4 linked regions of the Arabidopsis thaliana genome follow. The protein of the gene in region 2 interacts with the protein of the main gene of each other region in a pairwise test. Each region holds a gene or a part of one and is shown on either strand. Other genes may lie near its edges. The genes, in order: PHOT2, MAP70-5, WAVH1 and ALF4.

The links.
Region 1: the proteins of MAP70-5 (region 2) and PHOT2 interact in a two-hybrid assay, tested with the Arabidopsis thaliana proteins (one large-scale study listed by BioGRID).
Region 3: the proteins of MAP70-5 (region 2) and WAVH1 interact in a two-hybrid assay, tested with the Arabidopsis thaliana proteins (one large-scale study listed by BioGRID).
Region 4: the proteins of MAP70-5 (region 2) and ALF4 interact in a two-hybrid assay, tested with the Arabidopsis thaliana proteins (one large-scale study listed by BioGRID).

The regions. Positions count from the first base shown.
Region 1 is NC_003076.8:23,520,983-23,527,786, reverse strand, and holds the start of PHOT2 (phototropin 2), read right to left. Parts: upstream 3,963-6,804; 5' UTR 3,694-3,962; intron 3,658-3,693; exon of another isoform or gene 3,577-3,657; 5' UTR 3,242-3,576; exon of another isoform or gene 3,065-3,241; 5' UTR 3,017-3,064; coding exon 2,508-3,016; intron 2,385-2,507; coding exon 2,202-2,384; intron 2,121-2,201; coding exon 2,029-2,120; intron 1,903-2,028; coding exon 1,695-1,902; intron 1,293-1,694; coding exon 1,076-1,292; intron 914-1,075; coding exon 843-913; intron 714-842; coding exon 607-713; intron 521-606; coding exon 471-520; intron 381-470; coding exon 276-380; intron 196-275; coding exon 136-195; intron 61-135; coding exon 1-60. Other genes in the region: ROS3 (RNA-binding (RRM/RBD/RNP motifs) family protein), read left to right, coding at 4,021-4,224, 4,359-4,538, 4,638-4,982, 5,080-6,597. UniProt on the Arabidopsis thaliana protein: Protein kinase that acts as a blue light photoreceptor in a signal-transduction pathway for photo-induced movements.
Region 2 is NC_003075.7:9,655,312-9,662,536, forward strand, and holds MAP70-5 (microtubule-associated proteins 70-5), read right to left. Parts: upstream 4,266-7,225; 5' UTR 4,095-4,265; coding exon 4,034-4,094; intron 3,938-4,033; coding exon 3,852-3,937; intron 3,696-3,851; coding exon 3,630-3,695; intron 3,531-3,629; coding exon 3,360-3,530; intron 3,276-3,359; coding exon 2,949-3,275; intron 2,867-2,948; coding exon 2,720-2,866; intron 2,628-2,719; coding exon 2,556-2,627; intron 2,488-2,555; coding exon 2,056-2,487; intron 1,981-2,055; coding exon 1,829-1,980; intron 1,725-1,828; coding exon 1,697-1,724; 3' UTR 1,341-1,696; downstream 1-1,340. Other genes in the region: AT4G17215 (Pollen Ole e 1 allergen and extensin family protein), read left to right, coding at 573-747, 837-1,114; SCL13 (SCARECROW-like 13), read right to left, coding at 5,907-7,225. UniProt on the Arabidopsis thaliana protein: Plant-specific protein that interact with microtubules and regulates microtubule dynamics. May play a role in anisotropic cell expansion and organ growth.
Region 3 is NC_003071.7:9,642,651-9,649,215, forward strand, and holds WAVH1 (Zinc finger (C3HC4-type RING finger) family protein), read left to right. Parts: upstream 1-2,619; 5' UTR 2,620-2,782; coding exon 2,783-4,834; 3' UTR 4,835-5,005; downstream 5,006-6,565. UniProt on the Arabidopsis thaliana protein: E3 ubiquitin-protein ligase involved in the regulation of root growth. Acts as a positive regulator of root gravitropism. Possesses E3 protein ligase activity in vitro.
Region 4 is NC_003076.8:3,489,297-3,497,693, forward strand, and holds ALF4 (aberrant root formation protein), read right to left. Parts: upstream 5,878-8,397; 5' UTR 5,855-5,877; coding exon 5,690-5,854; intron 5,534-5,689; coding exon 5,354-5,533; intron 5,256-5,353; coding exon 5,106-5,255; intron 5,017-5,105; coding exon 4,944-5,016; intron 4,620-4,943; coding exon 4,453-4,619; intron 4,338-4,452; coding exon 4,278-4,337; intron 4,165-4,277; coding exon 4,014-4,164; intron 3,921-4,013; coding exon 3,592-3,920; intron 3,509-3,591; coding exon 3,437-3,508; coding exon of another isoform or gene 3,422-3,436; exon of another isoform or gene 3,407-3,421; intron 3,003-3,406; coding exon 2,925-3,002; intron 2,735-2,924; coding exon 2,576-2,734; coding exon of another isoform or gene 2,543-2,575; exon of another isoform or gene 2,183-2,542; coding exon 2,131-2,182; coding exon of another isoform or gene 2,108-2,130; exon of another isoform or gene 1,942-2,107; coding exon 1,697-1,941; 3' UTR 1,492-1,696; downstream 1-1,491. Other genes in the region: TRS120, read left to right, coding at 6,036-6,446, 6,639-6,845, 6,953-7,135, 7,319-7,428, 7,502-7,561, 8,039-8,327. UniProt on the Arabidopsis thaliana protein: Required for the initiation of lateral roots independent from auxin signaling. May function in maintaining the pericycle in the mitotically competent state needed for lateral root formation.

The sequences.
Region 1 (6,804 bases), on a different chromosome or scaffold from region 2:
CTTATTGTGAGGCAGAGGATAGACAGGCTTCGAGTGTGCAGCCCACAGGTCTTCGGGCCGCTAAAATACATTGCAATTCGATTGCATTTATACTTTTCCATCTTTGTTAAGTAATAATGAACTAGTACACCTTACCGTATTAGCATCTGGAAGCTCTCTGACAGCTTCATCTACATTTGTTGCCGTAGCTTTCACCTAAAATTGTGACCAATGTCATAGTCTCCTTTGATAGGAAAGAGATGTTCAAAAAACTCAGTAGGATATGAACCACATACCAATTTCGAACTCTGCATCTCTGTTCTCTCAGACAAACGATTTTGGAGGGGCTCTACATGATCACTTCCATCAAGCTGCACACCGATGAAGTATTGAAGCTCTCCCTAATAGATGAATAAAGTCATGTAATCAGCAACAATGCACGGTTTTCTTCAAGAATCGGAATCCAGATATAACAATAATCTCACGAAGACCTTCTGATCACGCATAGGTTGCAAGTGGAATAAGTTCCAGAATTTCTTTCCTGCAATGGTTTAGAGTTTTAATGACACAACCACATAGAAACTTTTCAGTATGATCGTTTTAAAATGTTCAGTATCTGATAACTACCGCTTTTAGTGTAGTTTATCAACTGCACAGTAATCTCCCTCTGATCTCTAATTGCGTCTCTTATCTTCTGGACAGTCGCTTGATCTGTCTCTGGCCCCTGAAGAAACCTGAAGCCAACCACTTTGCACATATCCATATCACGAAACAACAAAAACGCAGCCGGAGAAGACTGCATAACTTAAAAGGCATGATAAATCTCATGAGTAGAAGATACAAAAAGAAGAATTTTCACATACCGACAATTTCTCCCCAATATTTCCTCGCGTGAATACTCTGTCAATTCAAGAAAGCTGTCTGATGCAAAGATCTGCAAATAAAACGATTTCCATTATCAATTCAAGATTATATGCTTACAAACATAGTAGAACACTTGAGTAAGAACAATCAATATATGAAATATACTCTACAATTGATACATTAAGGTTCGAGAAAAAAACGTTCATCTCAATTTTAGACAGAAAAAACATACAATGGGATTATCAGGGAGACGAGGATCACTGATGACGAAATTCTTCTCTATGCGCTCAAGAGTGGTAGCTAGATCAATCCCTTGGCGTATATCCCTTTCTCTATCCGATAGGTCCCAACTGTCCCTCTGCCCTATTACTTCTGTGCTCAACATCAATTCTTCGGGTTCCATACGTAAAAGATCTTCATGCCTGTTATTCGAGCTTTTGAGCTTTGACCTGCACATTACACGAAGCTAGATCAGAAATCCTTGAGTGTATATGTATACATATATATACACAGCTTCAGAATTCACTACCCAATCCATGTCAGAGGATACATTCTAAGGCCCAGCACAAAGTTACAAAAGTACACGAGAAATAAGAAACAGAACAATAGTAGGAGATTGCAACTGCATCTTCGTATTCGAATGGAAATTATCTATGAGTTAAATATTGACTAACACAACAACTAGATTGAGATTGTGTAGTATATATTTTACCACTATTTGGCAATGATAATAGCAAGTTGTTTCTGCAAAACTTTGGCACTGCCATCACACTTTTTGGGCAATATATATGCCTTATTTTATGTTCAGGAAGACTACTGTAATCTGGTGGTTAGTGGTTACGAAGACTCACCCCGTTGGAGTAGAAACACGTCCAGGTGTCCTGAAAGACTTTGAAGCCTCATCTGACTGTCTTGTTTGTCTACCAGGTGTAGGTGTAGTAGAACTATCAGGCTTTACCATAGTGTCATTGCTCACGGATTCCTGAACTTGAGACTTACGATGTCTTATAGTTTGCACAACCTCTGTGATGGAATCCAAAGCTTTCTCCTTCTGGCGAGCTGATATCATCATCAAAACCATTACATGTTAAAGATTGTGGATCAGCACTCTTTGCTAAATTATATCATTGTTTTTGGCTAAAAAAAACTTGTTGAATTAACGAAGAGATGCAAAAAAACAGATACCATCATATCGAATCAAGGATTTGGAGAGTCCATTAGGCCTCAATGCTTTATCATTTACCCCTTCTGTGTATTTGCTAACTTCAACCTGCATCCTGCAGATGGAAATGTGAAAATGATTGATCGAGGGACAGTCGATTAATTAGGGAAAAACAGGGAGGAATTAAGGGACGTACCCAATGAACTTGATGGTATTGCCCTGGTCGTCCTTGATAGGAGTGACTGTGAGAAGATTCCAGAAGGGAGTTCCGTCCTTTTTGTAGTTTAACAGCCTTCCACAGTAACTTTTTCCATTCTTGACACAATCTCTGATTTTGGCAACCTCATTCTTGTCGGTGTCTGGCCCTTGCAGAAACCGGCTGGCGTTTTACCCACAAAGATTAAGAGCATTTCAGAGTAAGTTGGCATGGGTTTCAAAAGCAATATTATTCTAACTAATAACTGGGAATGAAACTAGAAGCAAGATACGAGATGAGCAGTACCAGTTTCTTCCAACAATTTCCTTGGAAGAATAACCAGTCATGGTAAAGAATCCACTGCTGGCATAGACTATGGGACAGTGAGGCTGTGTAGCGTCAGAGACAACAAAAGTCTGCTGCAACGTGGATAGAGCAGTTTTGAGCTCCTGGGATACTCTAGGGAAGGCCCCTGATTCAGAAGATGTAGATTCTTCGGATGACCTCCTAGACATGTTCTTGCTTCGTTCCACTTCACTGGACAGCTTGAAACTAATGCCATCGTCTCCCGAATCCGGCTTAACAGCTGACAATCCCCATTCAGCGGTTCTTTCTGTAATCTTAGCGGAATCTTGAAACTCCATCCACTTACTACTACTACCTTTGTTGTTGCCATCAAGAGGAGGCTTTGAAGAAGAAGAAGTTGATCCATGTGTCTCTTTTCCACTCGAAGGGTTGAAAATCTCAAGAGATCTACGTTCACTTAATGACTCCGCATCATTCAAAGGAGATGGAGGGGCTCTTGGCCTCTCCATAACGTTTCTTTATTCTCTTTCTTATGGCGAAACAGAGTAATGAATAGTCTGCAAATCAAAACCAGACACCACATAGACAAGTTAGATAGAAAGAAGAGGCAGACACAACTGTAGGTTCGAGAAACAAAGTAATAAATGCCATTAAAAGTCTTTAGAAGCAAATCAACAAAACACGTTAAAGAAGGTGAAGTAGATAAAATAAATGAAAAATATATATATACCAACCAGAGTAGCTTTATCAGCTGCAACTCATGGAAATATAGTACACAGTCTTTAAAAGGAGCAAAGACGATGAGAAAGATAGAGAGATAGACCAATTAAAAAACACAACTGTACTGTTTCCAAAACCCAGTTATATTATTATTTGAGTTATTTTAAAAAGACAATCATGTTTCTGAGGCTGCAAATGAGCGATGCGGAAGCCTGGGAGGATAGACATCGCTATCAATAATCAAACTCACATGGACCCTTTTTCACCCTCAAGGTCAAGGACCACACAACTCTGTTTCCTCTTAATACGTGCACTCTTGTTCATCATTCCCTCTTCTTTCACAAATTTTCTTCATAATCAAACGAATTTATTACACCCCTCACATCAATTTTTCCAGTACAATAATTCAGACATGTTTCAATGTAAAATGAATAAACAATAAATAGATAAAACCCAGTAAACTTACGATTGTAGTAGAACAGAACATGCGCCATGATTTGATTAGACGAAAAATGAACACGTTTAAGAAAATGACTGTGGCTTCTTCTCTCCCAGATGCTTTCGCAGACGACGAATCCACAATTTGTTTCTTCTTTCACTGTCTGTTTCAAATAATGTCGATGAAATTAAAGAGAAGGGACCCCTAAAAACTTGTTAGGCCTTATTATTTTCCCGCTAAAAGCCCATTAAGTCCTAGTGGGTCTTCTCTAATGGGCCTTATTAGTTAAGATTAAGAAGTAAGGAAAGTGAGGGAGAGGCGAGGGAAAACTGAATCCAACTGAAGCAAGCAGCAATGGAGGAAAAAAGCAGCGGCGGCGGCGTTAGGCTTCACGTCGGCGGATTAGGAGAAAGCGTCGGGAGAGATGATCTTCTCAAGATATTCTCTCCGATGGGTACCGTCGATGCCGTCGAATTCGTCAGGACCAAAGGTCGTTCCTTTGCCTACATCGATTTCTCTCCATCTTCCACCAATTCACTCACCAAGCTCTTCTCTACAGTGAGTGAATTCGATCTCTCTCTCTCTCTCTCTCTCTCTCTCTCTCTCTCTCTCTCTCTCTCTCTCTCTCTCTCTCTCTCTCTCTCTCTCTCTCCTTACTCTTGTTATTCTTAACCCTAATTCGATTTTGGCAGTATAATGGATGTGTCTGGAAAGGAGGGAGGCTGAGACTGGAGAAAGCAAAAGAGCATTATCTAGCTCGCTTAAAGCGAGAGTGGGAGGCAGCGTCTTCTACCTCTGATAACACCATTAAAGCTCCCTCCGATTCACCACCTGCCACTCACCTTAACATCTTCTTTCCCAGACTCAGAAAGGTACTACTAATGCTCCTTCAAAGTTGTAACATTTATATGACATAGTTAGTACTAGGAGTAGTAAGAGATTAGGGTTTGAGCTACGTATGTGTGGTGCAGGTGAAACCTATGCCACTTAGTGGAACTGGTAAACATAAGTATAGCTTTCAGCGTGTTCCAGTGTCGTCTTCTCTTCCAAGGAGCTTTTGTGATTGTGAAGAGCACTCTAACAGCTCTCTCACTCCTCGGGAAATACATCTTCATGATCTGGAAGCGGTTAATGTGGGAAGACAAGAAGCCGAGGTGAATGTTATGAACTCGGTGATGAATAAGCTCTTTGAGAAAAACAATGTGGACCCCGAAGAAGACAATGAGATTGAAGCAGACCAAGATAACCTCATCATCAATGTGGCATCTAGTGGCAATGATATGGACTCAGCGCTGGATATGTTGTCTAGAAAACGGGTACGTAGTGCTACTTATATTTTTTCTATTATACTTAACCCAATAATGAGTCATCTACCTCATCCCTGATCTGGCTCTTTCTTTGATTGTAACTCAGAAATCAATTCTCAACAAAAAAACACCAAGTGAAGAAGGATATAGTGAAGGACGAAAAGGGAACCTTACTCATCCAAGCAAGAATAGGCAAACAATCAGCCTAGAGGAAACTGGAAGACAGGAATCTTCACAGGCCATACGTGGAAAGAAGAAGCCTTCTGAAGTGGTACCAGATAAATCATCGGATGAACCGAGCAGAACAAAAGATCTTGAGCAGTCAATCGACAATATTTCCTGGTCCCAAAAGTCTTCCTGGAAATCACTTATGGCAAATGGGAACAGCAATGATTTTAGTGTATCCAGTTTCTTGCCAGGTGTTGGCTCCAGTAAAGCAGTACAACCTGCACCACGCAACACTGATCTTGCTGGGCTTCCTAGCCGAGAAAATTTGAAGAAGAAGACGAAAAGAAAGCGTGTAACGTCTACAATCATGGCAGAGGATTTACCTGTATCAGATGACATAAAGAGGGATGATAGTGACACAATGGCAGATGACATAGAGAGGGATGATAGTGATGCTGTGGAATATTACACAGCTTGTGAATCTATGGCAGATGACACAGCTAGTGACTCTGTGGCTGAGAGGGATGATAGTGATGCTGTGGAAGATGACACAGCTATTGACTCTATGGCAGATGACCCAGCTAGTGACTCTGTGGCTGAGAGTGATGATGGGGATGCTGTGGAAAATGACACTGCTATTGACTCTATGGCCGATGACACAGTTAGTAACTCTATGGCTGAGAGCGATGATGGTGATAATGTGGAAGATGACACAGCTATTGACTCTATGTGCGATGACACAGCTAATGACGATGTAGGTTCAGACGACTCAGGATCACTTGCAGATACTGTTAGTGACACAAGTGTTGAAGCTGTCCCCCTGGAATTTGTTGCAAACACAGAGGGCGATAGTGTGGACGGCAAGTCGAATGTGGAGAAGCATGAAAATGTAGCAGAGGATTTGAATGCAGAAAAGGAAAGCTTAGTCGTGAAGGAAAATGTTGTAGATGAAGAAGAGGCGGGTAAAGGACCGCTGAAAGCTAGTAACAAGTCAACAGGAGGTTCTTCATGGCTTCAGAAGGCTTCGTGGACTCAGCTGGTTAGCGACAAAAATACTTCTTCATTCAGTATAACTCAACTCTTCCCAGATTTAACTTCAGACAAGGGCGAAGCAGCTGGAGTGATCAACAATGTAGGAAACCAGTTCTCCAACTCTAACCAGACTGCAAGTGCAATGAAACAAACAGATTACGCATCTAGCAGCGGTGGTTTTGTGGCTGCGGGAGTCCCTGTGGATAGTACCCCTGTGAGAAGTTTAGATGAGAATCGGCAGCGTCTGAATGGTAAGAATGTGAGTGAAGGAGCTAAATTGGGTGCGAAGAAGAAGATAATTAAGAGAAAGGTTGGGTCGGGGGATACTTGCACATTTATGAGAAGCTCGACTTCTTTGAAAGAGTGGGCAAAGGCTAAGAAGGCATTGAGTGAGCCCAGGAGAAAGAAAAATAGCGAAGAATGAGTTAATACTATCAGAGGCTCTTCAAATTATGTATCCCTCCACAGTTTTTGTGCTTAACACAATACAATGTTTTTTTTAATTCAAGGTTTTAAGGTACACTTCTATAAAAAGCATTTCTCATTAGATAAGATCTTTTTGATGAACTGAACTTTGACGTCAACAACAAGCATGGATACATGTATTTTTTCTGAAGGTTTCGTATACAAT
Region 2 (7,225 bases):
CAAATAAACATTTTTGTATTTATCCTTGGAGAGATTATTGATAACCAACCCACACAAGAACTCTCCCAAAAAAGTTGTCTTTGGGACAAAGACAAATGTCTAGAAGAAAAGAAAAACAGTTGGGGCAGGCTTGATTATTTGTCAATTGTGACTTTAAATTTAGGTTAGACTTTGAAACATAATATTAAAAAAATAAAGACATTTGTAAAGAAGAAACGTCGCATACCGTACTGATATTTGACCAAAGATTGATCAAAGATTGATCAAATTTATTAACTAGAAGAAGAAAAGAAGAAGAAGAAAGAAGGATTAGGCAAACAAGTAATTTCTACTATTATATAAGCAAGGAGATATATAATTAAGGAGTCATATAATTTGACCAAAAAAGATAAAAGTCAAATTATGGAAGAGGCATTTTTACTTATAAAAAAGCAAAATAAGGATCTCATATTCTTAATTTATTCAACTAATCCATTCATTTTTGTGTGTGTATATATATAACACATCCTTGCTTGTTCCATTTCTAAGCCAGTTGGTAGTTTTTCACATATATACGACCTTGAAGATTAAAGATGAGGTTCTTGTTGATGAGCATGACGTTGGTATTAATTGTGACGTTTGGGGAAGCATTTAGTGATAGATGGAGCAGAGATGAGATGGTGGAGATGGCTGGCTACGGCGAACAAAAACTCTCCTCTGTTCTTCTCACCGCCTCTCTTCTCTCTTCCTCCTCCTCCCCTATTCATGGTACGTAACCAGTTGGTAATAAGTGGATTGGTCCGTATTCCTTATATTATATACTACGAGATTTCTAACACATCATCATCATCATACAGGAGCTACTATTGGCTTCAAGTGCCATACTGGACATAGGAGGAGATCTAAATGGATCAAAGCTGTGACAAATGAGTTGGGGCAATTCGTCATCGATCTTCCTTCTCACCTCCACGCGATTCCTGACTTAGACAAGGCTTGTATCATTAAAACACTCTCTGTCCCTAAACCGTATCGATGCTCTTCCAAGATTCACAGAGGTATTCAACTCCTCTCCTCTTCCAACGGCTCTCGTGTCTATACAGCTGGAAATATCACCTTACAAGAGAGCACCATGTAAAAGAGACTGTAAATTAATCTTGCTAGGAAAGATCAGTCCTGACTTTATTTCTATATGGTTCCTTCTCACTTCTTGTGAGAAAGAGAGATAGTCTTTGTAAATCTTGTTCTTCATGCTCTTCTTGTATATAATAAAATTTATGTTTTCTTCAAGCTTGGATCTTCTTGCTACTACAGAGATCATACGATCCTGTAACTGATTATGATATATATATTAGATGCAAAGTTTGTTATGTTAGCCTAACAACCAAGGCAAGACCAAAAAATCTGAGAGAAGACATATATGGTTATGTATGACTTTGAGAGAGAATATGCATGTTTTTGTGTTTAGCTGATTCTGATTTACTTATAGGTTTCCAAGATAATTGCTAACATTCAACTAATTGGTAGGAGAAGAGAGAGGAGTTTTGTGTCATCATCTGGAAACATGGCTTTGCAATCCGATATACATAACACACATACACATCTCTTGATCTTTAGTTTTCACTTTCTTATAATCCATCATCCAATACTCAATATGTACAGTACAACCTAACATTAGACCATATTCTTTAGTATTCAATCCCATAAGCTTCTTCTTCCTCTACTGGCAACGTGGATTGGGTATGCGGCTGCACAACATAGCATAAACATATAAATATCAACTGTCTTGATGTTTGACTATGTATACTTCTCAAAAGACAAAGACAAACAACAAAGGATGTGATGACCAAACCTTCTCGGTAGTTTTGCCTTTCTACATAGTTTTGACTCTTCATTCAACATTGCCAATGCGTTTTCCTTTTCTCTCGCTGCGGCTTCCCTCTTTGCCTTCTTTGTCTCAACTTCAATGGCTTTCGTTAGAGCATCCACCTTCTTCAACAACATCTAAAAACAGAGGTATCTTAAGAGGTTTCATATAGTTGAGGATCTTAAACAACCACAAGAAGATGATGAAGTTACCTTGATTTCTTCATTTTTGGCATTTATAGTACCCTCTTTACTCTCACATAGCTTCCTTAAAGCAATCACTTCCTTCTGAAGCCTGTCATATAAAAACCCTGAAACCATATCTTCAGAATAAACATTTCCATCTTCCTCTGTTTTCCTTTCGCTATCTTCTTCATGTTGATCAGTCAATCCGTTTGCAGTAATCTTTGAATTCTCCATTTCATCACTTTCCCCAACTCTGTCAATTGGCTGATTCATAGCATGGATTCTGCCTGTAACTGAGCCTCTTAGCTGAGAACTAGACCTTTTCTTTGAGCCACCACCACTGGTCAAGAATCCTAAAATCTTGCCAGATTTTTCAGTCTTTGTAGTTGGAGAGACGAAAAACGTGTTTGGGCCCTTCAAGCCATCTTCTATGGTTTTCAGCCTAAGCTTTAACCTCTCCTATAATGTTTACTTGCATTAGAAACTACACTTTTTACCAACAGAATATTAACTACATAAGCAATCACCTTTAGCTGGGACTCAGCCTTAGCGGTTCTCTCGGAAACAGCGAGTTTATCTTTCAATTTCTGCATTTCTCCCTGCACACAGACACAAAGTTCAACACTAATGTTTCCCATATAAGCTAGTCAGTGTGTATTAACTGGATGTGTAAGTGAAAAGCAGTGAGTACATGGAGAATCCTTCTCTCTTCAAGCCATTGCTTTACAGGCATGACTCTATCGTTCTCATCTTTCCACTCGTTAGCAACTGCAAGTGCCACTCTACTTGCTGACACTTTGACTCTGGCTAGCTCTCTCTCTAAGGTTCTCTTCTCATCCTGGTAACGATGAAAAAATCATGTGATTTTCCTTTAAAACAAATGTGAGAATGAAGTACAAGAAACTAAACAGAACACTTGCATTGAGCTGGGAGATTTGGCGGCGATAGTCTCGAACTGCATTGGCGGCTGTTCCTCCTGCCAAGATCGCTTCCTCCAGTTCTACAATGCTTTGGGAGAGCTTCTCAATCTCCAACACTTTCTGGCGGTTAATTTTCTCAAGAAACTTGTTCTCATCCTGGCATATCTCAATCTGTCGTCGAAGTTCAAAGTTATGGTTCTGGACCTCTTCAACAATCAAAGCACGTTCAAGGGCACTTCTCAAGATTCTCTCTGCTTCAAGAAGCGCCGATTCTTTTGATTTTGTTAGACGTTCCAACGCTTTCTTGTCCTCTTGAAGTGCAGAAATCTGTCAAACAGTAGCATGTCAAGAAAATCTGGCACTTCACACTGATACAAGAAAGAAATTTGAAATACATATAGTCTTAAGAACCTCATGCTTGTGAATCTTGATCTGAGATTCAAGAGGAGCTATGATGGATTCTAGGGGTAGAGAGTCATCGTCCTGTTGGTGAGTGTAAACCCTCCTTAGTGCTTCTTCTGCAGCGTCCTGTGCCGCCAATGCATCTTCCTTCTCTTCTTCTAGCTTCTTCCTCTCCAACTCCTACAATCATGTCACAAGCTTAACTTATTCTAGTCATTTCTAATGTTTTGACATGAGTCCTTCACAAAGATGGTCTATAGTATTTGAGCAAAACCTCACCTTTTGGTCAACTTGATTCTCGGTGGCTCCAAGTTTCTCCTCCAACTTCCTCACGTTTTCTCTAAGCTGAAACAACACCAAGTAGCATCAATAGAGCTCAAGAAGCTCAAAAAGGACAGTTTGAATATGGAAAACATTGATCAAAAAAACTTATAGGTAAGATTGACTTAAAGTTTTTGTAGAACAATCACAAACAGAGTTGATGATCATCATGCATGTTACCTCCTTAAAGACTCTGTCTTTGAGCTCTTCATTTGTTCTCAAAGCCTCAACTTCAGCTTTAGCAGCCAAAAGCTCTTTCTCTTTTTCTGCAGAGTGGAATTAAAAGAAAGCAGAACAACCTCAACATCAAGCAAATTACTCATAAGGGTTGATGAACAATAAACAGAAAGAAAAATAAGAACCTTTAAGCTGGCTTTGCAGAGAAGAGGTGTCAGATACAAAAGGGTTTTCTGCTGCAGTCATTTTGTAGTCTCAACGGCTCCTCCTTCTTTGTTGCAGTATAGAAGATGAGTTTTGGTCTAAGCAGAGGAGAAATGGAGTCGTTTAATATATACACACACACTTTCAGAGAGAGAGAGAGGCCATTCCTTAAAGGAATTGACGTTGAAAAAGAGAGAGGGAGAGAGAAAGAGAGAGTTAAAAACTTACTAACTCTTTTTCCTCATTCTCAAGCAACCGTCTCCATTTCAAACCCTTGAGACAGTAACCAACCCTTCCCTCTTCTTCTTTCACTTTCATTACCCATTTACTAAATTCATATTCATCCTCCCTTATCTTTATTTTCAATTCTGAAATGCTTACAAGTTATTGACTTGTTCTGTTTCACTAATTATCTTCTTAGTTACACCGAGCTTGTCCTTAACATTTGGTTCATCATCATAATTACCTCATTCATGTTTTTCATGTTCCAACATTAGTGGTGTAGTTAATATTATTTTAAAGGGACACGGCGTGAAAATACAAAAAATAAAACAGCTACCACAAATGGAAATTAAAATAAAGAGAAGAGAATATAATCCAAAGGAAGTTGGAAGGAGAAGCAGCATATGACAGATATAAAGACACTAATCATAAGGATAAAGATAATTTAAATGATTGAACTAATTTCGTTTGGTGAAAACCCTTTTCTTTCTTTCCTGTTTCTTTATAATAAAAACCTATATTGTATCCCCTTTTTGTCTTTATCGTTTTTGATAAGATTATATGAATGTAGGTAACAACAGATAACAATTATGATAATCTTGAAATAAAACTAAAGCTTAATCATCTTCTAAACATGTATTATCCAAATGATTTTTGTGTTGCAGTTTGATTAATAGAAAGAGTAAGAAAGAAAAGTTGAAAACTTGGAAGAAGGAAAGCAAAGTGTGAAAAGGTGTTGCCTCAGCAATTAATAGCTTAACCGCAAAATATTGCACAAACCAAGCTTTCTTTGTATTAGTGGAAGTCACTCAATATCTCTCTTTGAATTATTAAAAATTAATTGGGATTTTCTCTCTTCTTTGCTTCCAAGTCTTAAGGTTTGGTTATTATTAAATCAAACAATGATAGAGAATTAGACAAAGAACACTTAGCAAGTATAATATAGAATCAACTGAGGTAAATGACCAAATTTGGAGAGAAATTAGGTGAATAACAACAATTAAGTCAATGGCAATATTTTATTTATATGAATATGATTCCCTAACAAAAACTAAAATCATAGATCCAAAATTCTAAACTCTTAACACATAAAAGTAACATGTTAGGGCAAAAAATTACTCTCCTGAATTTTGTTACTGAGTGCAAAATACTCATTAGTATATTGTTATTAAAGGCAATAAAGGAAGCTTGAGCCTTAGAAAAGTAAAGAATAAAATGAAGGCAATGACCTGTACTTGTTCAATCCATGGTTTTGTGGGTTGGTGAGCTCCTTTTTAAGACCTTATCAGAATTCAGAACCCAATCTGACCTGTAGATTTGTCTCATATTTTGTTACCTCACGACCTTTGTTCAGCCGCCAGTTGACTTATACCGGTATATATAGAAGAAGATCATAAAATGACCTAATCAATGTTTTGGTTATATTTCATTACTAGCAACCCACCCACAACCACATGACAATTTACAAGAGAAAAACAACCACCAGGTTTGGTTTGTATACATATATAACTTAGGTTGTGTTACAACTTAAAACATCATTGCACATCCTAAAAAATTTACAGCGACAGATGTGTTTTTGTTGTGCTCTTCTTTATCCACTCAAGTAACCATCATCACTATAACTTACCCAATCTAGTTTGGGTTTGGCTTCCACACGGAACATGTAGCCATGGGTCGTCTCTTCCAGAAGAGGTAGAGCGCTCCTTCATGGCCTCCCAGTTTGTAGTTTTTGTCATAAGCTTTCAGCATCTCACTCGCTGCAAACGCTGCAGATGTGCTGACCGGCCAACCCGTGAACCCAGCCATCATCATTCTGACCCTCCATATCCCCAGTACCTCGTGTCTCTCTACTCTCTCTGACTCCTCACATGCTATCATGTTCACTATGTCTCTTGCTACACAGTGTTGTTCTGCGCTGATTCTCTGCTTATCATCCCGTGGCCGTGCTGCATCTATCGACTCAAACATCGCTGTGTAGTAATCCAGTGTTTCCACAAACCGTGACAGGAATGGCGAGGTGTTTGTGTTGGATTCTTGCTCTACTAGAGTAACCAGTTTTGGGGAGAGGCTCTTGATCAGATGCAGCAGCCTGTCTCTGTGATTTTCAACACTTACGCTCTCGTCTGGCATGTGGTGTAATACATATGGGAAGTTCACAACAACAGCAAAGCCAGGTTCCAACCCGAGATGTTCCCGCTGCACCTTGCACCCAGACATGATGGCATCGTGAAACTCAAACGGGACACCACATGACTGCGCCAAAGTTGCAAGCCTCTCACCTACCAAGCTGAGTCCTCCCCCACGAGCATAGGTGGACTGTGAATCATCCACACCCGTCACACGCAGCAACGGCGGCCCACCAGGGCGTTTCGCAAGCTCCTGAATCAAAAACATGTATTGTGATCCCTGTGCAATCTGAAAATCGATAATGTGGACTCTGGTTTCCCCAGCTATTGCTTCCAAGATCTCAACATTCGCAGTTGTGTACGCGAATTTCCAGTAGGGGCAGATTTCATAGAGAACACTCATGTAAGACATCAGTTCCCTTCCCGTTGGTTCATTGCATTTCAAGGATTTGTATATATTGCTCCCAGACCCCTCAAGCCTCGCTCTAAGCCCTTCTGCCATGTAAGTGCCTAGCCGTTGGATCGGACTGCCTGAGACTGACACCATCTGTTCCAAGACATCAAGGAATCCATACGCTGTAGCGAAATCCCCATCAGCGACTGCCCGAGCAGCCTCCACCAGCACCTCTTTCAAGTCCAACTGTGGAGTCAAAGCCAAAAGTTCATCCCAGTTCCACGACTTCCCAGCAGCGGGGCTAAAACCTGAGAATTCTTCAACTTTTGTATCACCACTCAGCAGCGAGACCTCAAGTTCCCGAATCTTACTCTTGACTCCAGCTTCATCATAGGCAAGAGATGACACCCCACTCAAAGGTGATCCATAGA
Region 3 (6,565 bases), on a different chromosome or scaffold from region 2:
ATGTACGTTAAAAGCTGTAACAAAAACAGACAAACAAACAAAAAAAAAAGTTTGGCGAAAAAAGGTGATAGGTATCAATAACTAGTTGAGATGGGATAGAGATAAATTTTAAAAAATGGACCGACCTATTACAAACAATTTAATAAAAGTAACACAAGAGTACAGAGACTAAAACAGTAGCTATGGTTTTCTTTTGGCGTCTCTGTAATAAATTGGTTTCTGGGGATCTTCGTCCTATCTCCCATGCCATTCACTATCAATACATTTATTGATGCCTTCATTATCATCTTTCTTTTGTTTTTTTGCCGATCACTTTATTTTTTTAACTCGTACCATATTCTATAGCATTGATCCTCTTGTAGTCGTAGGTCGACTTTTGTTTTTATTTGATAGTAACACTTATGTCCTTGGTGATATGTATTTTTCAGAAATGCTTTTTCGATTTATTTAAATGTGTACCCTTTTGTCGACCAAAAAAACAAATGTGTACCCTATCTTTAGTGTTTACTTTGTAGTTTGTACAAAAATACGTTTTTATGTTCGAGCAAGTTTACTTTTGACAAAGAAATGTTATTATAATAATAATAATAATATATTGAAATATCAAAATTTTGTGTGTAAATTTATTTAATTATTTGAAAATTTCAAAAATTTCCAAAACAATACGAGTAGCTTTGCTTAAATATATCTAAAAATACACAAAATAACTAAAATATCCAAAAAAATCCTAATATTTTCTATATATAAGTATAAATATAACTAATATATACTTATATTTGAGATATGTTCGAATTTTTTGGATTTTAAAGTTTAGAACCGTTCGGGTATTTTAAAAGTTTGGTTTCGAGTTTGGATCGGATTTTTCGGATCGGGTTTTTTGGATCGGGTTCGGGTATTATGCACTGGCCTAGATAAAAGAAAGAAACCATTCATCACCTATAACATTTTTACTGCATCCACCGTTATTATCAGTATACGAACATTACCTCAGTTTCAGCATTATAGCTTAGCAATAAATAGCTGAAGAAATGTAGTTGGTATTATTGTTATAGCTTAGCTAGTGGTGGCAACATGTTTATTTTCTATTCACCAGGTGATGATGGCTTATCGGATCAAGTCTTGATTCGAACATTAAATGTTTTACATGGATCGATATATAAACAAGTTAAAATTGGCTCACATCCATAGATCGATCCCATAATCTATGCGTTTATACATTCACTGCACTGTATTAATTTAACCCAATCATATTTGCTCATCTACTACATTAAATTCTGTCAAAGTTTCAATAGTGTGTTACACAATAACGGTCAAACAACAAATGATTCTCCAATAACAACTATTTAGACAGTCAAAAATTTTAGCGTGAGACTAGACGGATCGATAGGGCATAATAGCATATATGTATAGCCCATACATTAATAACTAGACATTATTACAAAAATTTCGGTGCTAAACAAGTTTTTTTTTAATGGACCCTTTTATTAGATTACTTTAAATAAACCGATGTTAAAAATCTTGTTTACAAAAGTAATAAAATGCGGTTGGATATGAACATTTCGTGCTAAATAATCTGTTTTAACATTTTAACTTCAAAAAAATAAAAATAAATATAAAAATCAAACACATCCTTGTCTTCATGAATCGCCTCTAAATACGTAGCAAAGATTGGTCACTTTGTTGGAAAAGACACCACTTTTATCAAGTCTGAGGAATCTGTAAAGAACGTTACTTCTTGTTTGTCTTGACCAATCATACATCTTATTGTTCATACGAGTGAACGAGTGCTTCCACTTATGTAAATAGACATGTGAGACTTCTTCGTAGGTTGACATCACCTATAGTTGGATATTTTCTTGTTGGTAAGTTTTTAGATAGCCAAAATACTATTAAACATTCATAAGCAAGTGAAAATATTTATTTGAACGATTTAACTAAAATGTTGTTATGTATTTATACAAACATATATATTTTTTTATACATATACATGTTATTTTACTAAATAACGTTTTTGTCCAAAGTTTTTTTTACTGAATAACGTGTAATCAAATAAAATAATAAAAGAACAAGGGATCTCTTCTTGATAAAATATTTTGATTTCATATAAAAGTAGGTGATATCTATAAAATAAATTTACAAAATGTTTTAGTTTGTGAATGAACTTCAGAGTAAAATTGTAAAGTTAAAAGTAATTTTACAAATTTAAATAATTAGTTTAGTTATTTAGCAGATACATATAGTCAGTCTGCTATCATAGCATTTAGGTTGAAGCCTTTAAGTTTATCTTGTTCAATTTTTTATATAATATATATATATATATTTTTAATCTAGGTGGTAAACAAGCTTTATCACTTAAAAGGTTAAAATGAGTGGGGCAATAATAGATGTAGCTCATAAGTTCTATGTTGAAAAAGATTAATACCAAAAATCAATCATTTTCTTATAATCAACCATGGAGTAGAAAAGCAATTACACAAATAGAGTAACTTCTAAAATATTTACAGCTTTTTAGGTAGTCAATTACTATTAGTACTATTTCTTAATTCTCTCAATAAAATAAAATAATAAAAAATCATATAGATAATCCCAATATCCCCAATCTTCCACTATAATTGAACAAAAAAGACTCCTTTTTAAATTCAACCTCTCCCACCTTCTCTCTGCAACTCTCTCATTTTCTTAAAATCTCTTTCTCACAGAACCAAAAACCAAAATCTCAGTCTCAAACAAACAACAACAACACACGAGTCACGAGGTTGAAGAAGAAGAAGAAGAAGCAAATATGTTAAACGGCTGGAGAAGAGCTTTTTGCACTTCCATTCCCAAAGAAACTAACCAAAACGACGTCGACGACGACGGACTCGTTGGTCTCCGCCACAAATCAACCTCTCGATTCGGCTTTTTCTCAACTCCTTCTACGCCTCGTTCTGATTCCGGCACCGGAACTTACAGCCTCCGTTGCAGGACTTCAACAGCCACCGCCGTCTCCACTACTTCATCTCTTCCCGGAACTCCAAAGCTTAAGTGCAAAACCACCACCACCGGAGAAACAACTCCCAGAAACAGAAGCCTTGTCTCTCTTTTAACACCTTCTTCTTCTTCTATTTCTCCGGCGAGCTTCACTCTCCTCAAATCCAAACTCCGATTCAAGCAGAGTAGCAGTAACAAATGTGGAATCTGTTTACAGAGTGTGAAATCAGGTCAAGGTACGGCGATTTTCACGGCGGAGTGTTCTCACACGTTTCATTTTCCTTGCGTAACCTCACGCGCCGCCGCGAATCATAACCGTCTTGCTTCTTGTCCGGTTTGCGGATCCTCGCTTTTGCCTGAGATTCGAAATTACGCTAAACCGGAATCTCAAATCAAACCGGAAATTAAAAACAAGTCGTTGAGAGTTTACAACGATGACGAAGCTTTGATTTCATCTCCGATATCTCCCGCCGGATTTCACACAATACTTGAATCAGATGAGAACGAAGACTGCGAGGAGTTTACAGGATTTTCCGTTAATACTCCGTCACCTTTAACGGCGAAATTGTTAACGGATCGAAACGTGGACGTTAAGCTCTCTCCGGAATCGGCTATCGTTGCGTCGGGTAAAGGCTACGAGACTTACTCCGTCGTCATGAAGGTGAAATCGCCACCGTTTCCGACGGCGCGTGGATTTGCGCGTAGAGTGCCGGTGGATTTGGTTGCTGTTTTAGACGTAAGCGGGAGAAATTCCGGTGGGAAATTGGAGATGTTGAAACAAACGATGAGGATTGTGCTTTCGAATCTCCGGGAGATGGATCGTTTATCGATTATTGCGTTTTCGTCCAGCTCGAAACGGTTATCGCCGTTACGGAGGATGACGGCGAACGGGAGGAGATCGGCGCGAAGAATCGTAGATATCATCACCGTTCCTGGTTCTGTCTCCGGCGTCGGAATTGATTTCTCCGGTGAAGGGATGAGTGTGAACGACGCGTTGAAGAAAGCGGTTAAGGTGTTAGACGATCGCCGGCAGAAAAACCCTTTCACCGCCGTGTTCGTTTTAACGGACCGTCAAGCCCATCAAGTGGCCCAATTAGCCCATTCGAGAATCCCTATACACACCATATGGCTTAGCCACGCGATTCCCGAAGACGCGTTTGCGAGGACCATCAACGGTTATTTGAGTTTGTCGGTTCAGGATCTCGGTTTACAGCTCGGGATAGTTTCCGGGTTGGGTCAAGGAGAGATAACTTCTGTTTACTCTCTTTCCGGTCGACCCGCTTGGCTTGGAACCGGTTCAATCCGGTTAGGTGATATGTATGCGGAGGAAGAAAGAGCGTTGCTGGTTGAAATCAAATCACCGGTTAACAATTCCTTAACCGGTAGTAGATCTCACAAAATCATGACCGTTAGATCTCGTTACGTGGATCCAACAACTCAGGAATTAAGAAACCCCGAAGATCGCGCGCTTTTAATACCTACTCCTCTAACTGTCCGATCATCATCAAATCCCAACATCTCACGGCTCAGAAACCTCCACGTCAGCACTCGAGCCGTCGCGGAGTCTCGGCGGCTAATAGAGCGTAACCATTACTCCGGAGCTCATAGATTGCTGACGTCAGCTAGAGCATTGCTTGTGCAGCACGGTTTGAGCTCGAGCGATGCGTGTATACGTGGACTGGACGCAGAGATAGCTGATCTTAATAGTGTGAAAGGAAGACACGTGGCGGCATCAGAGAGTTTGGAGTCGCTTACTCCGACGTCGGCTTGGAAAGCGGCGGAGAGGTTGGCTAAAGTGGCGATGGTGAGGAAACATATGAACAGAGTCAGTGACTTGCATGGTTTCGAAAACGCTAGATTTTAGCTTTTTTATGTATTTAAATATATTTCCATATTTAGAGTAACAACTTGTGTAATAATAATCTGATACAAACAAATAGAAATGGTGCATAAATGGAGTTATATTTGGTCAAATGATAAGTTTGGATAGTTATTTTATATCATTCAGCTTTTATGCGATTTCATTTCTCACCGTAAAGTTGATTATACAATTTTGGTTAGGGAATTAGGTAGTAGGTTTTACCAAATCAATCTTAATATTTAAAATTGTATAAAGAACAAACTATATATTAAGCCACTATCATATACACTCAATACTAAAATCTTACACGCTTAGAGAAACTCGTGTAAAATGTCAATGTAAAATGAATTTTAGCAAAAAAGAAAGAAAAAGAAATCAATGTAAAATGAATTGGCCGGTGATATTTGACTGAAAACATGACTAGAGCTCTTCCATTTGTTTTGTTGTAAAATTTATACGCATTCGAAATGCTTATAACATACATTAGTCGTGTTGAACATGGTATGATCTTTTCTTTTACTTAATTAATCTCTTATGAGAACTTTTTATATATATATTTTTGTGCTTTACAATTATTATAGTGAAACTTTTTAGATAGAGCCTATATTCTATGTGTACTTCTTCGTAATGGATGTGTAGATTATAAATACTAAAATGTAGTCAAAAACAAGGGATGTAGCCTTTTCGCGGCTACACACTGATTAAATTCGTTGTATCCAATGATGGTCAACAAAATATTTTCTAAGCAATACAATAAATCAGCAATAAACAATTCTAAAGAAGCCTTATAAATATGATTGCAAATGCTAATAATTGAGTTTAGGATATCATTTTAACGGCGGAATTCTGTCTCCTTTTTGTTTGTCTCGTAGGCTTTTTACACCTCTCTTATCATTTTAACGCCGGAATTCATAGTACTATGAATCTATGATTGCTAATGAGTAATGCCACATCTCTTTTGGGAGTCGCTTGCGTTACGCACAAAATGCATCATATTTTCCCAATTGTCTAGCAATTAGCCGCAAAAGATCAATGTTTACACAAGATTCAGTAGGTATCTCGATTGATCGGTCATTATCTATAGTTTTATCCGAAATTAACTAAAGAAACTTATCAACTTCTTAGATAAATTAATGGTTGTAGAAACCCCTTGACTTAGTAGTTGATTTTGTGAACTTTTAAGACAAGATGCGAGATATGAATCATATGATTTACGCATAATTCATATATATTTTTTACATTATGGATACAAAAAGTTTAAAGTTGTTGTAGATAGATCTGTCGTTGGATGGTCTCGTGTATTCCAAACCGGTTAAATTTATCTAAATGTAAGTTTATCTTAGAAATTTTGATTAGTCAATTAGTCACATGTCTATCTCAACCAGCTTCTTGAACTACTCGAAAATAAATTGCTAAAAGATATCACTTTTGTTAAAAATACAAAACTTATATATAAGCATCGGCCTAAGTGTTATATATAAGCATCGGCCTAAGTGTTACATACTTTCATTTTATTAGCCCGACTAACGTATACCACCAACTTTTAAAAGTTTTGAATAAATTCTTGTAACTTTAGTCAAACAGAGAGAAAGAGAATAAAAGCCAAAAACAACTTTGAAAGCAAATGTTTTTGGTACGTTTAATTTGGAAAGCGATGGTGCGTTCCACTAAAGAGATGCAATAATGGTTCGCACGACTATATCTAAAAGTTCATATCATATCTAAACAAGTTCA
Region 4 (8,397 bases), on a different chromosome or scaffold from region 2:
ATATAATTTCGGTATTAAGGGAAATATATCATATCAATATTAATGTATGGGTCGACAAAATATTTACATGCCATGGATGTATACATATGTCAATCAATATTGTGATAAGGTTAAATATGTTTTTTTAATTATGTCTCTTATGTAAATCTTCTGGTAGAATTAGTTCACGTTAGTTCAATTTAAACAGGTATCATACAATAAAATCTCTGGTTCATAAACATTGATAAACCAAAAATTTACATCTTTGTTTTTCAAAATGAAAGTAGATTTATAGAATCTAAATTTATAGAATCTAAATTTTAAACATTGATAAACCAAAAATTTAAGTCTAAGAAAAAGTGTAGGGATACTTTAGACTTGACTTTCTAAGTTCTCCATCCAAAATTTTAAAGTAAAAAAAGTAAGAGAAAAGAAAAAAAGACTTTTTGTTATAGAATCTAAAAAAGCTGGTTTATATGTTTTTCCACACTTTTTAAACTAGCAGGATATGACTGGGGCAAACACGAACCATCGATGTGTAGACCATGAACTTAACAAGCTCCGTCTAATTACTGCGGTTAGATCATATTATATAGGGATTAGCAACGCTTGACTTTATATTCAACATGACGACTTCATTTCTGTTTTATCAATCCATTTAGCAAATTATGTATTGCTTTTTTTTACTATAATTAAATCTATTAGGTATTGAATGAATTCTGTTCAGGTAAAAAGAATTCGAATATGGATAAGGTTGGGTGGTCCATTCTGAAATACATATGCATGAACTGAAATATTTCATGTTATGAAACTATAGATTAGATAGTTAGTTGATATGTAACTATAATTCAAATTTTAAGAAACTACTATCACATGTTAGGTGACCAATGGGTTTGTCTCGAGACATTAAAATATATTTTCTTCCAACACCCAAGAAAGGCCACTATTAGCTATTATCTTTCTAATTATGCATATTGATTTGTCCTGAAGTATCTACCAGAAATCATGTTCTTTAGTCTTTTCATTTCAAATTAAATTACAGAATCTTAAATACGAGATGTGTTTCTTCAGTACTTGAAACATTTGTAGGTGAAAGATTTAAGAATTGTGTAGAATTGAAGTTACAGAAAATGCCGTTGAATTAAACGGCTTAAGATTGAGGTGGAAAATAGTAAGGGACCTTGAACGTGTGGTGCTGTGAGTAGTCTACATAACTATCAGCTCTGCGGATGCTTATAGCTCCCTTCTCCAGCCATTGGGTCGACATAAGCGTAGGAACTTAATTAGGTGAACCAAGACTTTGTATGCAAGTATTATGATCAAGTCATGATCACCAGCTGATAAACACTTGTCTGAGTTACTTTTGAAAGATTCTATAAGCCAAAAAACACGCTTTGGTGATCAAGACTTTGTATGCAAGTATTATGATTGGCTGATCCTAAGCCAAACCAATCACTGAGCCTGCTAAATAGAAATCTTTGGCTTGTGGTCTTGGCAATACACAACACAACACTCTTTTGCAAAAATGAAAGTTGGAAAGAAAGTAGAAGCAGGAGCAGGTTCACAAGTGAATGGGTTATCACTTATCAATATGAATATAGGTCAAGCAAAGTGCCACGACTCAAGTTGGAATAACCAAAGTTGCAGGAAAATATCAAACAAATTTTTTTTGTAACTAACAATGAGCCTACAATTGAAGTTCTCACTATTTTTTTGACTAATGACTTTTCAACTTTTCTTCCACGAGCTCGATGCATCGATATAGAACCAATTCAATTGGGTTCAGAAGCCCTACATCGTCGAGTGAAGATTCTTGGCCATGATCCTCCTTGAGGTTCTCAGCGATGCTGCAGCTCACAAGAGTTCGAAGAGGCAGAAGCCATTCCTTATACGCTTTCTCCAGATTCTTCTTTGACAAAATATCACTGCCGACTTTGCTTCTCTCTTTACCTGCTTCACATTCTATAGCTTTGTCTTGTCAGAAAAACACCACAAGAACAAGAGAGATGAAATGACAAAACCGCACTGCCTACTAATTTGCAATATTTTAAATAGTCAGATTTCCTCCATTTACTTGGAAGGAAATGAGATAAAGCAAAGTACATTTTCAACTTGACATTTTAACATTTTAGAGGGTATACGACTTTTTACCTCTCGATTCAAATAACAGTGCAAACCTGTAGAGGTTAAGTGCCGCCAGGATCTGCACAAACATCACACAAAGACTTTTGTTACACAAATGTGGTTAAATAATCGATCTTCAAACACAACCATGTTTCTCCTTATTTTCGTTCTGACCCTCTGATTCTTATAAATAGTGAAAATTCTGGGGTCTTTTGTTATCGCAGTTTTCCTTACGACAAGTTAGAAAACAATGCAACATCATAAAATTCCTTAATTAGCGAGAAAAGCAAGCTACTCTCATTTGCACAGAAAGGGGCATTTTCTCTATTTCTCGGTATGTATGTAATGTTTGTCCTTTTAAGCATTTACCTTAACCCATATCATTGCATTGCCTAAAGGGCTTATAGTATGCACATGAAAAGAGAAACAAAACATACTTTTAAAGAATTGATATAGGAAAAGAAAAGATCACCGCATCACTCTGGTCCGGAAGGAGTGGAGGACCTCCCTGTGGAGGCCTTAAGACCAACTCCACTAGCTCAATAACATGCGTATCAACAGCCGCACAATCTGTATCTTGCAAACTGCTTTTGCTCATGCTGTCTTTAACTAGACCCAGAAGGATTGCTGTCTGGTTGATTTAGCAAAAGATATTAGTTGAAATGGGATACCTTTCTCTTTTGGAACCAAATGTTTAAAAATATTATCTCAGTATGACTACTGAAGACATTAAACTATGCAGTTTATGAATGGTCAACGCCAAAGGTGACCATGATGGCATTTACTATTCATAAAGCTCAGTGGGATACAAATATACTAACCATTGAAGGAGACCGGGAATTTGTGACAAGGGCTCTTAAAACGTCAAACCTATGAGGAGCTGGGATATCAGAAAGAACCTAATCAAACAGCACAAAAGTAAGATTGTAAGACGAGATTATTAATCATCTCTGTTTAAACTTTAACCAAGCCCAATAGATAACTAAATTTCTGAATGAAGAAGATATGTTTTTAAAAAAGTATATGAAAAGAAAGAAAAGCAAGGCATATGGACTGAGGGTAGTCATTCTGTGTCAAAGTTGGCTGATACCTCTTCTACTTATAAAATATAATCAGCACAAGTCAAATCATCTGAATTGGTTAAACCATCATTTCTGTGTAAAAACATCAATAACGAGTATAGATCTAAAGAATCAGAATTTTGAGGAAACAAAAGCCATTCAAAAGTTTGTGTTGTTCGTTCTTTTTTTGTGGATTCATGCTTCATATAGTATCAATTCTGCGTCACTCAAAATCAGTTATCCAAATTTTGATTAAGTCAAGGTTTATTTACCCTCTTCAGTGCCTCAAATGTCTTTTTCCTCAGATCTGCGTCTGGCGCATACATGATCAGTAATGTAACAGCCTGGTTGAAAGAAACGAGACACTTGGAGCGCTAGTAATTGGTAAACCTGAATGGTGTAAAGATTAAGGAGAAGAATATTACACCTGTAAAGTAGCGTAGATGCCAGGCGTGTAGTCCGAACAATCTATTTGCTCATCATTGCATTGAGATGAAGTAACTCCTTTTGTTATGTCAAGCAAGAACTCGATAGCATGTCTTTTGAATTCCCAGAGCAGATCTCCAGAGGAAAGTATATATTTCAACATCCCATAAGCTTGCCACCTTTTCACTGGATTGTTTTGAAGCTCATCAACAACACTTCCTAAAACCGCATTAGCCGCCTCTGCAACCTCATGGGAGATCTTTGCACAGATGAATAAAAGCGATGCACCCAAGCTGATGTCAGGGAAAGAGGTGATAAACTCATCATCATCTGTTCATTTTACAACCATGAGACATGTGATACGAGAACAGATGCGTGTTATTGAGAAATCAGGAAGAAGTGTTTTTGAGTATTGAGAGTAACCTCCAGCAACCGTGCTCATTAATTTTTCAGTGTCATTCCCCGTGATTAAACCAAGATGTGTTAAACCACAGGATGTCAAGAACGGTTCTAACTGAATCACCAGAGGAATACAAGAGGCCGCTTTGTCTCTGATGCTAACTGAAATAATAGCCTGCAAAACCAGACCAAATCTAAGGTATTGAAGAAAATCTATATGCTCATAATAAAAGAGAAAAGTCAGAAAAGTTCCATGATATCGAAACAAAGTTGGAATCAAGTACAAACCGTTATCTGTATCACATAGAGACAAAGTAGACAACGGACTTTTGCTTCTTCTTCGTTATTCTGTAAAACAAAGAAAAGAGATCAAATCAGGCAAAACGAATATTCAAATTAGAGAATTTACACTTTGGGTAGTGATTTAGGGAATCCTAATTGCCAATTTATCAAACTTACAGACCAGTTTTGAAGAAACGTCTCGAATTGAAGAGGCAATGCCTAGAGCCTTATCAAATAAATCTTCAACTTGCACGTCTGTTTCCAATGAAATGTCCTTCAAAACGTTCAGGACAATTGGAACTGCAACCTTTAATTGCTCGTAGTGACGCCTCTGGATCAAAATAAATACTGAAACCAGGAAATTTGAATAACTTTTTACTGCTTCAGTTCACGAAGACTAAATTAATATCTTCAGTAACAAAACTAGTTAGGGATTCAAACACAAACTTTAAGATATTCATACTTAAGTACAATCAAAGCAAGAGTATTACTAAAATTGCAGGTGCCAAGCTAAAATTCACTTTCATGAGAGAAGTCTATAAATTTTAGGATATTCATACTTGTGTACAATCAAAGCAAGAGTATTACTAAAACTGCAGGTGCCAGGCTAAAATTCACTTTCATGAGAGGAGTCTATAAATATCTTGAAAACGAGAAATCTTCAACTGGTACCTTTAGAGAGCCCATGCAATAAAGGAGTAGAACAAGTGGAGGCTGAATGATAGCACCGTGCAGCATCGAGTGCCTGGTTCAGAGTCATAAGGTGATCAAAAAGAACTTGTAATCTTCTTATGCCAAATACCAAGAAGGAAAAAGAAATTCCAGATCAATTACCTCACAAAGAATTGAAAGCATATCCCGTGGATTGCATGCTTCCACAAACCGATCAACGATTTCCTCAACTAACTGTAAACATCTGCTTGATATGTCTGCAAACTTGGAAGTTACTTTTGGCAAGTGAAATGACAGTGCATCTATAACATCCTGTAATAAAATGAATCGGGGAACAAAATCATAAGCTTGGTTCTCTAAACAAAATCCTTCCGTTTGGCTTTGAAAGCGATTCGAAAACTGAAAAGTACCTGATCCATTTGAGGAGATGATAAAACTTTCAAAATTTCATCTAATACTTCTTCAATAACATCGTTCTCCAGTTCATTGTTAGCATCCAAAGCTACGTTCTCATACAAAGAATCCAAACAGCTGACAAGTTCTGTCACAAAACTCTCAAAGTCTTGAAATCCTCCGGCTTCTTCAACTGACTGAAAAATCACAAAATTAGCGGCGAATTTTTCATTCGAGCTCCAAAAATCACGAAACAGCTAAGTATTCATCGATCTCAAAGCATCTAGAAATTCCACCCAGAAAACAAATTACACAAACCCGAAACGAGGAGAAGAAGAAGAGAGAAAGCTTACACTGAAACACAAAGCTAAAAGTTCTCGTACACGACGCGAAGGAGAAGTAGTGACAGTAGTTGACTCGGAGCTCCCTTCAATGGACGATTCCATAACGCCAAAACTTTTCAATTTCGCCCAAGTTTCGTTCACAGTGAGAGTATTAATAATCGCGAATTTAACCATATCGTTTGGTTATATGAATAGAGTTTAACCCCGGATAGTCTAATTCTAACTAAGAATAGTTTAATACCTGTACCCAAACAGACCACGTTCTCTCTCTCAACACTTTCTCGTTTTCGTCTCCTTCAGATCCGGTGCACTCACGCTCACCGAAAGATCCTCACTCTCCTTCTCTGATCTCGCCATGGAACCTGACGTCAGTATCGAGACTTTGTCGATCATTCGGATCGCCGTCCTTCCGATCGGCACTATTCCGCCGACGCTTCTCCGGGACTACCACTCGATGCTGCTCCGTCATCACACGATCGCGCTCTCAGCTATTAGCTCTTTCTACACTGAACATCAGAAATCTCCATTCACGAATCAGCCGTGGGATTCCGGCTCTCTCCGGTTCAAATTTGTGCTTGGTGGTTCTCCTCCGAGTCCTTGGGAGGATTTTCAGTCTAATCGGAAGATGCTCGCCGTGATCGGCCTTTGCCACTGTCCCTCGTCCCCTGATCTTGATTCTGTCACTGAAAAATTCAATGTCGCTTGTAAGAGTTATTCCTCGGCTCTTGTCCGGCGCTGCTTCGCTTTCTCCCCTGGCGATTCGCAAGTAAGTATATTAGTTTCCATGCTTCTTATCTGCTATGGCATTCTTAGCTCGATGCCGATGGATCTAGCTAGCTTTTTTCTGATTTGTCTCTACAGTTGATAGTGATGTCCATTTTTTGTACCAGTGATTTAGTTACTTGCTTATGGATGCGTTAGATTGACGATTTACTGAACAATGTACTGTCTTTTGCAGCTTGAAGATGGAGACAAGAAGGGTGAAAATTTGATTTTGTTTCCTCCATCTGACAAGCAAACTCAGGAGTTTCATTTACAAACAATGATGCAAGACATTGCCGCTTCGCTGTTAATGGAATTTGAGAAGTGGGTTCTTCAGGCAGAATCTGCTGGCACAATTTTGAAGACGCCTTTGGATTCCCAAGCTAGTCTCAACTCAGAGGAGGTTTATGTCTAGGTGTCCTATAATTTGGTCTACGTTTCATTTCTTCCTCTGGAAGCTTATAACTTATTAGCATAGTCTTCTAGGCTCACTAGTTTTGTTTAATGCAGGTTATTAAGGCCAAAAAGCGTAGGCTGGGACGTGCACAAAAAACTATAGGAGACTATTCCTTGTTGGCTGGTTCACCTGTTGATGCCAATGCTCATTATTCTACTGCTCTGGAACTGGCCAGATTGACTGGAGATTACTTCTGGTATGCCGGTGCCTTGGAAGGCAGTGTTTGTGCCTTACTGGTAAGGCTTTATGCAAATATATCTCTAAATGCATTGTTCTTACATTTTTAATAGTATTATAGTCCAAAAACATGGATAGTGATGTGCTGTTTATCGAAAGTGCACTGATTATGAAATTGCTCTCATCTGTCCCTCTTTAATTAAGTTTGCAATCATCTTAGTTTTCCGTTTTCTTAATATTAGGTAGATCGGATGGGTCAACGTGATGTGGCTTTAGAAGATGAAGTTAGATATCGATACACTAATGTTATCTTGCACTACAGAAAGTCATTTATTCAAGAAATTGCTCAGAGGTAATTCTACCAACCTGTTTGGCTTTCTTCTTCGATAAACTTAAGTAATAGCAATCAATTCTCTTCCTTGCAGAGTTTCGCCCCTAAGCTTTGAACTCGAAGCTACCCTTAAGCTGGCCAGATTCCTTTGCAGGTATCATTGTATGCTCTCTATTTCTTTAAATTATCATGGTGTGGTTTCCTTTCTTGCCGTCTCCTGCTTAAGTTTAAGGTTGCTATGGTATTTTTGTCTAGTAGGAAGCTATATCGCTACTAAAATTTAAATATAAACTCATGGGATCTTGTGTGTGTGTGGCTTTGATCCTCTAAAACTATCTGCAACATTCAACTTATAATACCAATATATTGAGATTACTATTAAGTATTAAGTGGCCTAGTGGAGGATGGCTGTATGTTAATGTTTTGTGATTGATGGTGATGTTAGCTGGGAAAAGAATAATTATTACGTTTTGAAAAAGCTAAAATACATGGGTTTTCCGTTTAGTATGAAATGATACTCTCTGGTTGTGGCAGCTTTTATGTTTTTTTAACCTTCTGGTTGCATCCTCATTTTTTTCTTGGTATCTTTGATCTTAATCATTCTTACAATGTCATTTTATGTGTTGTGCAGGAGGGAACTGGCTAAGGAAGTAGTAGAGCTATTAACAAATGCAGCTGATGGTGCAAAGTCTTTAATTGATGCCAGTGATAGGCTCATATTATATGTTGAAGTAGCGCGTTTATTTGGAGCCCTTGGTTATCAACGGAAAGCAGCCTTCTTCTGTAGGCAGGTCGCCCAATTGTATTTGCAGCAAGACAATCGATTGGCTGCTATCAGTGCCATGCAAGTTCTCTCTATGACAACTGATGCATACAGAATTCAAAGTAGGGCATCCATGTCAAAAGTGTCGGTTAACAATGTGAGTTTGCCAGCATAGGCATTATTTTTCCTCTCTTGTGTTTGATTGAGCATGGTTTTCTGGAGTTTTT